Linked DNA regions of Mus musculus. The protein of the gene in region 2 binds, or shares a complex with, the protein of the main gene of each other region. Links are inferred from orthologs where the notes say so. Each region holds a gene or a part of one and is shown on either strand. Other genes may lie near its edges.

Region 1 (4,582 bases), on a different chromosome or scaffold from region 2:
CAGTTTTTTGATCACGTGATTGTGAATGACAACTTGCAAGATGCATGTGGCCAGCTGTTGTCCGCCATACAGAAGGCTCAGGAAGAACTGCAGTGGGTGCCAGAGGCATGGGTTTCCCCTGACACTGAATCTTAATCTAGTGTCCTGCTTAAAGCTGGAAGCTTCATAGTGTGCCCTAAAGATCCGGAATAACGGCTGCCATTGAAAACAGCAGTGTTTGACCCATTAGAACTGCGACTATGAAGTCCTTATTGTATAGCTATAAATAGCATCCTATACATATACAGAGCTACTCATTTGGCTCTCAGGCATTTTCCCGATGTTTCCCCATATGAGCTAATGGCAGGTATGTGACAATGTTGTCACTGAATGTGAGCATTTTATAGATTTCATATGGTGTTTTGTAAGATGTAACTCTTCTAAATAAACCAGTCTACTTAATGACAAACTGTATTTTACTTTGTAAAATATTTTCTTATTTCTGTTTATATTTTACAAAAGTGCCTAGTTGACTAACTAAGCTAAGAGCGGTTAACAAGTACACATTTATCTAATAAGGAAACCTATGACACTGTTATTTCCAAATCAGCAAAGTGGACTAGTCCTGGAGCCTGTATATGAGCTCCAAAACGAGGATGTTGATACAGTCTTGGTCTCCCTAGATCCGAAGCTCCACTGCACCCATGTCTGTTCATCTTCTTTATATCCACACTTCCCTCCATTCTACCTATTTTAAACTATAACTGTTCCCACTGAAGGAACTATCAGAACTGAACATTCAGATTATACTCCTAGGCCTACAGGGAATCTAGGAAACTGGGCAGGCCAGTGAAAGAGATCCTCGCTGTTTCAGTCATACAGATCTCCCTCCAGGCAGCACCCTGGCAGACGGGAACCAGGTGGGGGACGCCGGCCTCTCCAGGCTCCGCAAAGCCGCCTCCTCCCACAAGTCCCCGGAGGCCGGGCGTCGCGGGAAGCCGGCCTCGGGCTCCGGCGGTTGCGCCTAGGGAGGCCCGCGGGAAAGCATCATGAGGGACGACTCAGGGCCTCCGCTGGAGGAGGACCAAGCGGTGAGCGACGAGGGGCGCCTGGCCCGGAGTGTGGCGAAGTGGAGGTGTCCTAACCAGCAGTGACCACCGCCGAGCCGGGAATCTGGGGACAGCACTGCCCGAGGGGTGCGGCGGGGGCGGACCGGGGCTGTACATCAGGGCGGGCCCCGCAAAAGGCGATCAGGTCCACCCAACATCCGGGCGCCCTAGTCAGCGTTGCCATGGCGACGCCTCCGGGCGGCTCTCGGTCAGAGAGGAGGATGTTCCGGTGGGGAGTTTGAATACGAGTCTGGTCCCGCCGTGCCCACCCCCACGCAAACCACGATGACCTCCCGGGAAACTGTGGGTGAACCCCCTCCGCTCCTGGGGACGCCGGCCGACGCTGAGGTTTTCCTAGTTCGAAGGGGTCAGATTGGGTTCGGCTCCGGTAGCCCCAATACCTCCCGTGGGACGGGTGGGGACGCTCCGGGCCCAGCAGCCATGAGGCGCAGCCCGATGACGCTCTGCGCCTGCGCGCCTGGGCAGGAGGGGCGGGGCGGGCCGGACCGGGGCGGGGCGGGCGGCTGTGGTGCCCTGAGCTCTGCTGCGGTCCCTGGAGACGTGATGGGGAAGAAGCAGGTGGTTAGCGAGCCTCAGGTACTTTTGAGCTGTTGGGAATTTAGTCTCCGCCTGTTCAGCGGTTCTTCTTTTGAGGGGCTTAGAGGTGCGGTTTCTAGATGGGTGAGATGGTTCATTTTTGCGGGACTTTTGAAATACCAAGAGGACTGGGTCCCACTTTCATAGCATCTTGAGAATAGTAGTGCTTTTGTAGGACCACCATTCTATTCCAGTTGTCATTTTGACTGCTGGATTCCATTAGGACATCGTCAGTGTCCTAATTTTGTAGCATTCTCACGAATTTGTTTGAGTGAATACAACCATGGATTGCGAAATGGGACAAGCAAGAATATCTAAAATGTGAGCCTTTGGAATCAGTGCCTTCCATAAGCAGCATGAAATACCCGAGCTAATAAATCGACGTCTAGGCACTGCTCTTAGAGATCAATTCTTTTAAAGGTGTATTTGTAGCCGGACAGTGGTGGCGCACGCCTTTAATCCCAGCACTTGGAAGGCAGAGGCAGGTGGATTTCTGAGTTCAAGGCCAGCCTGGTCTATAGAGTGAGTTCCAGGACAGCCAGGGCTATACAGAGAAACCCCGTCTCAAAAAAACCAAAAAAAAAAAATGTATTTGTTTTGAGTGTTTTGCCAATATATGAACCACTTGTGTGCCTGTTGCTCACAGAAACCTGAAGAGGCTGTCCATTTCCCTGGAACTGGAATTACTGGTGCTTTGTGGGTGCTGGGAACTAAACCCAGGTCTGCTGCATGAGCAGTAACTGCTCTTAATGGCTAAGCCATCTATTTTGAAAATTTTCAGAATGCTTAACTAATGCTTCCTGAGCTTGCAAGCAGGACTTTTCTTAAGTAAGAACAGGGTAAACTACACCAGCCCCAAATACTTCCTGTTCTAAAATATGTTACCTATTTCTATTTAAAGTAACTTAAAAAAAAAGCATGTTACTCTGTGGCATAAAACCTTAGTTGGCTTCCTAGTTAATAGAACTAAATCCGTATTCCTTCTGCTAGTCTGCGAGGTCATAGTTAATCTGACGTCTGCCTTCTGTCCTGTGTCACTGGTTTCTGCCTGGCTGCTCTTTACCTGGAGCCCTTCATGCCCTGTCTTTCTTGAAAGCCTTAACATGTGCTCCTCATTCCCTGTAAATTTGGCACCTTTGTCAGGAAGGGCTCAGCTCAGATAACATCAAAGAGGCTTTCCCTAAGTAAAACATCACTCTTCATTCCTTATATATGGTTATTTATTGTATGCAAACACACATGCACATGCATGCACACACATGCATGCACAGACACACACACAAGCATGCATGCACACACATTTATATGGCATGGTCTAGTTTTATCTGAGCATGCAACATTATCTTCCAATACTTAACCACTAATGGAAGGTCTGTAAAGGGAGATGAGCTCTGTTTGATCCTGTTCTGAATGCTCACAATAGGCCAGACTGGTTGAAGTGGAAGAAGAAAAGAATTTTACATGGGGTGTAGGAATGGCAGAATAGATCTAAACCCAGCAGTCCAGTTTACATCACCGCCTCCCGGGTTTCACTGATAATCTTCCAAAGATTTGAAGAGAATTGCTGATCCATTTTATTTGATAACATCTGGACAGTGGGCTTTTAAAGGAGAAGCTTTGTGGTGCTTGAGATAAATGAAGGTGAGGTTAATCCAGCTTTTATTGACGAGATGTTTGCCTCTCCCCTCCCCTATAGCGTCCTCCACGAGCACTCCCACCTGTGCCAAGGTAAAAACAGTTTACGGTCATTTAATTATTGAACTTTAAAAATATAAAGTAAGAAGAAAAAAAAAATCAAATAGTATGGTTGAAAACCTACAATACTTCATTAAAAAAAAATCCTTCCTGGAATTTTAAAAAGTCTTCCTAAGAAGTGAGTGGTAAAAGTTAAATTCAAATCATGAGAATAATTGTTATGAATAATTACAGAAAGCTGTCACTCTAGCACGGTGGAGGAATGGGTCTGTCCTGGGTGTGCTGATTCTATTTACCAGGATTCTCCAAGGCCCTCCTGTTTGTGGAATATTCCATCAGAGCTTAAACCGATTATAACCGGTGACAAAGAAAGTTCTTAATCTGCTTAGTCCCTCTGATTAATAGACAGTAGGGAATGTGTATTTGTGCTTTCAAAATACTTTTAGCAGTGCTATTAAACAATATACTATTTACAAATAATAAGCTAGTTTATAAACTGGCTAGCAGTATGTAAAAGCTAGTTTTATTTTTAAAGTTGTAATGATGTAAGTCAATTTTTAGCTAGACAATAAAATAGATATCCAATTAATAGTTTCTTTTTTCTTTCTCTCTCTCTCTTTCCCCCCCCCCCCCTTTCTGATTACATTTGGCCGGGGTCACGTGAAGTGCTATCCAAGGTGAGTTAGTTTACTGTAGTGTAAACAGTCCTAAATGCATTTGTTGTTCTGAAGTAAGAGTGAAGATGAGTACACTGGCTCTTACGAGCCTACCTGGACTGCCTAGGTTTCAAGGTAGGGACAGTGGCACACACCTGTAGTCTCAGGCCCTTGCAGGCTGAGGGAGGAGAGCTGCTTAAGCCTAGGAGTTGACGGCCAGTGTGGGTAACAGTCAGCCCTTGCCTCAAAATGATGATGATAATAATTTTCACAATCTTCCGTGACTGCCATTTGAAAGTCATGTGTGATATACAGTAATAAGTTGCTCTCTGCAGTTGCCTTGACTTGTTAATAGCTCTGTAATAGACAGTACTTTTTCTCTTCTCCTTCAGTCAGGATAGGCAAGGTTGTGCTACACTAACAACTCCAAACGTTTTATTCACTTAGTATGTTCCTCGTTTGTTGAAAATAATTCAAGGATGGACCAGCAGGATGACTTAGTAGGTGAAGGTACTGATGCCAAGTGGAAAACCAGAGTCAGAGTCC
Region 2 (4,309 bases):
CCCAACCAGCCACCCCTTGGCGCTCTGAACGCGCGTGCGCAGACGTACTGCTTCGGTTACAGTGATTGGCGGGTGTGAGTGAGGAAGGCTGTTCTCTGCAGTGTAGTATGGTTTTGTGCATGCTCTATTTCTAGGCAATCTGTGAGCCCCTGACCCACCCCTGAAAACTTCCACTGGGGGGCGGGGATGTGAGGCAATTGTAAAATATACAAATCAAAAAGGTTTCTTTTTTTTCTTTTCATCATAATGAACCGCTTTGGAAGTGGAAAGCTGCAGAGTTTTCCATCCTCTCCTGTGATTTCTGTTAAACCTGAGAAAAACAGGGCAGTTGCATAGGCAGATAAAAGCAAGCTGTATTTACAACAGGCCTTCGGGCTGCCTTACCTAAAGTATGTATTACAGAAAGCATCCCTTCAACCTTTTATTACTGTGCTGTTAGGTGTATGTGACAATTCCCAACAATCACACTATGTGGCAGTTCTCCAGTCGGGGGTTTATTGGGATGGGAAATAGAGTTATCCTCTGGGAGAGGGAGGAGAACCAGGGACAGGGGAGAAAGGGAGAATGAGGCTTTTATTAGGCATTGTTGCGCTAACAGTCTGCAAGGCTGTGCACTTTAATAGGCAATATTCATGTATATCCAAATTTGGTTCTCAAACCAAGTGAGATGAGGTGTATATGTAGGGTGCTTTATGCACAATACAGAGAAAGTATGAAATCAAGATTCAGTAGGCAAGGTTTCTCCTAGACTTTTGTCATAAAGGTATTATATATAAAATCAATGAGGGTTTCTGTTTGTATTGCTTTGCTAAAACTCAAACTCAGGACTTGAAACAATCCCTACCCTTAGTGTTTTTTAAATAATGTAAAAACAAAGCCGGGCATGGTGGTGCACGCCTTTAATCCCAGCACTGTAGAGGCAGAGGCAGGCGGGATTTCTGAGTTCGTGGCTAGCCTGGCCTACAAAGTGAGTTCCAGGACAGCCAGGACTATACAGAGAAACCCTGTCTCGAAAATCAGAACAAAACAAACAAAAAAAGTAAAAACATAGGGCACCTCCTTTGTTGTCAAAATTAATCCCCTGGGTAAACTGTCATGTAGGTGTGATTGCCACTTTCATGAAACACTTTTAAGTGCTAAAACCATATATTTTCCATTGCTGTAGTAGTATTTCCTGACACGGTAAATTGACTGCGTCCCAGAGTTTTAAATACATTTTAAATAACCGCCCCTAATTTATTTAGCATATGTCTGATCCATTGTTTCCCGCGTGCGTGGTAACCTAGCAACCAGGCGTCGCAAGGTTGAGTTTTTTTTTTTTTTTTTTTTTTTTTTTCTGAACCCTGTTGTCCAATCAGCTCAGCGGACTCACCGAGGAGGCTGCTGGGGAGCTGGAGACTGCGGACCCAGGATATGGGTACCATGGTGACGCGTACAAGGCCTGTGGCGGCCATGGCGGTCAGATCTCGTTCTTCATCCCGGACTGGCACCGCCTACCTTCTCTTAGTTCTCTGCGAAGTCTCATGGGCACAAATCTTCTCCTTCCCTTTCCGGCGGCCTGAGACCTGCGACTTCAACCAGTACTTTGACATCTCGGCGCTCTCCTGTGCCCCCTGTGGCGCCAACCAGCGGCGGGATGCACTAGGTGAGGCGGTTTGGGGGTGGATGGACTCTGACCAAAATAAAGCACTCCTGACAGCCAGCACTCCAGACATTTTATTTGGAGAATGTTTCAGAAAATGCACAGCTATCAAACCTAAGAAAGGGTTTCCTGGGAGGATACGGCTGACACAATGAGATCAGTCACCCAGGCGCCACCACCCTACCCTCCTCCAGGAACTCATTCCCCGGAGTCAGTCTCTGGCAGGGAATCCTTAGGATGGCACCTGAAAGCCGCCTAAGAAAAGTAGAATAGAAATAGAAAAGAAATAACCTGAGGCGTCTAGTGAGGTACCCTGACAGGAAAGCAAGGGAAGAAATGTGAATTAGTAAACTCTTGTGACCATTAATTCTACTTCCAAATTCAAGATATTTAAAGCTGTTTGCAACTGTGACTATAATCAGATTTTGTAAGCAAAGGAAACTGAAACCGAGATGTTGTGACATCTGTGTGACATATACTGGAAACTAAGAGAACTCTTGTCTCTTCCTCACTTTCTTTTTTGTTTTTTGTTTTGTTTTGTTTTTCGACACAGGGTTTCTCTGTGTAGCCCTGGCTGTCCTGGAACTCTCACTTTGTAGGCCAGGCTGGCCTCGAACTCAGAAATCCGCCTGCCTCTGCCTCCTGAGTGCTGGGATTAAAGGCGTGGGCCAGGACACCTGGCTTCCCTCACTTTCTACCTCTGCATTCCCAGCGCGTGGCTTTGCATCTGTGGTTACATATTCCCTTAGGACCTGTCCCTTTTATTGTTGATGACTTCTGTTTGCTCACATTGTCCTTTTAGACTTAATTGCATCGATTGGTCTAGTTCTCCCTTAACTACTCAGAATGAGTCTTTTCCTATTTACTGAAGTCTAAAATGCTGTGAATCTCAGACTGGTTAACTCTCCTGCTTTAGGCCTGGTAGAGTCTCACTTAAGGCAGTGCGGATCACTGTGTCAGAAGATGGAGTGTGAAGAGCAAACGTGTTCTGCATTGTATTGCTTTCATGACAATGAATGAAGACGTGTGTGTTGTACATAGACTCCTACAGGTGCTGGCTCTACTTAGTCCTTAGAGAATTCTTTCTTTAACTAGCTGAGTCTACTTGTAATTACAAACAACATTTATTTTCTTTCTAGAGAAAGAGTATTTGAATGAAAGCAATTTTCCAATAAGATATTGACAAAATTAAAACTCACTAAACACACATACATATGGTTTAGTGATGCAGAAATGTAATTCCTAGAGCAAGTAAGTAGTTTTCATAGTTCAATAATAATTGCAGTTTAAAAAGTAGCAACATGATGCCAGACATATTTCTAAACTTTGACCCTATTAGGTAGGTCCTGTTTTTTTCTCCATTTTACTAAACAAGAAGCCGAAGTATAGAATTCATTAACCCACTCAGTGTTTGCATGTATACGCACAGACCCATAGACACATATACATGCACAGACAGACAGACAGAGAGACAGACAGACAAAGACACCTGTTGTCTCTCATATAATGCCCAGTCTGGCCTCGCACTGTCTGTGAGCAGGGATACCCTTGAAGTACTGCCTGAACTTCCTGCCTCTTCCTCCTAAATACTGAGGTTACAGGTATACACCACCACTCCAAGCTTCAAAATCCTAAGAACTGTTAAGTTTGTGTCTTGGAGTTTTGTTTGCTAAGGACAATATCAGCTTTGTTTTTTTTTTTTTCTTTTTCTTTTCAGGAACTTCCTGTGTATGTCTACCAGGATATCATATGATCTCTAATAATGGAGGACCTTCTATTATTTGTAAAAAGTGTCCAGAAAACATGGTATGAATAATTTATTTTAAAATAACTTTTGAGAAAAAGTCATAAATGTCTATCTCTCAGACTTCAGTATAATTTCCCATTTGTTCACATACTTTAAACTTTTTTTGTTTTGGGTTTTTTGTTGTTGTTTTTTTGTTTTGCTTTTTTTGTTTTGTTTTTTTTTTTGTTTTTTTGTTTTTTTGTTTTTTTTTGGTTTTTTGAGACAGGGTTTCTCTGTGTAGCCTTGGCTGTACTGGAACTCACTCTGTAGACCAGGCTGGCCTAGAACTCAGAAATCCGCCTGCCTCTGCCTCCCAAGTGCTGGGATTAAAGGCGTGCGCCACCACGCCCCGCTACTTTAAACTTATTAAGGTAATTTTATTAGTATACATTTTGAGAGATCAGTAAAGCAAAGAAGAAAACTTTGGGGAAAAAAGACAAATTCATTTTGTTCTGAAAGTGGTTGAGTCAGATATCCCAAGTACAAAGCTGTGAAAAAAAATCTTTCTGTTTGCCTCACAGAATAACTAGGGTATAAAGAGAAGCTGAGTATTCCCTATGTAGAGCCATTCGGGGTAAAATGTCTTTGCTGTAGATGGCATTCGCTGTCTTAGATGTACTGTGCTGATCGTCTTAAATGATGCTTGATCCTCCTAATGCTACATGAGGTTCAGCAATCCTCATGCTACATTAGGTACAGCAAGTCGATGCATTGCCGGTTGCATCAATAGAAATGGAATCATTCGAAGTTTGCTTAGTTTCCTCATTACATAATGGTTCAGGGAAATTCGACTAGTGGGCAAATTTTATGGGCTAATTACCAATTAGTAGAAATATGTTTTCTAATCATTTAAGCTAATTAGGAGTGTATAACAGTTCTAT

What was found.
Region 1: Tmem67 (region 2) and Tmem237 share a complex: the UniProt entries of both Homo sapiens proteins name them as parts of the tectonic-like complex. The link is inferred for Mus musculus from reciprocal best matches to the Homo sapiens genes TMEM67 and TMEM237.

The regions. Positions count from the first base shown.
Region 1 is NC_000067.6:59,116,806-59,121,387, reverse strand, and holds the start of Tmem237 (transmembrane protein 237), read left to right. Parts: upstream 1-1,581; 5' UTR 1,582-1,652; coding exon 1,653-1,685; intron 1,686-3,381; coding exon 3,382-3,413; intron 3,414-4,046; coding exon 4,047-4,057; intron 4,058-4,483; coding exon of another isoform or gene 4,484-4,546; intron 4,547-4,582. Other genes in the region: Mpp4 (MAGUK p55 subfamily member 4), read left to right, coding at 1-135. UniProt on the Homo sapiens protein: Component of the transition zone in primary cilia. Required for ciliogenesis.
Region 2 is NC_000070.6:12,085,051-12,089,359, reverse strand, and holds the start of Tmem67 (meckelin precursor), read left to right. Parts: upstream 1-1,422; coding exon 1,423-1,645; intron 1,646-3,359; coding exon 3,360-3,448; intron 3,449-4,309. UniProt on the Homo sapiens protein: Required for ciliary structure and function. Part of the tectonic-like complex which is required for tissue-specific ciliogenesis and may regulate ciliary membrane composition.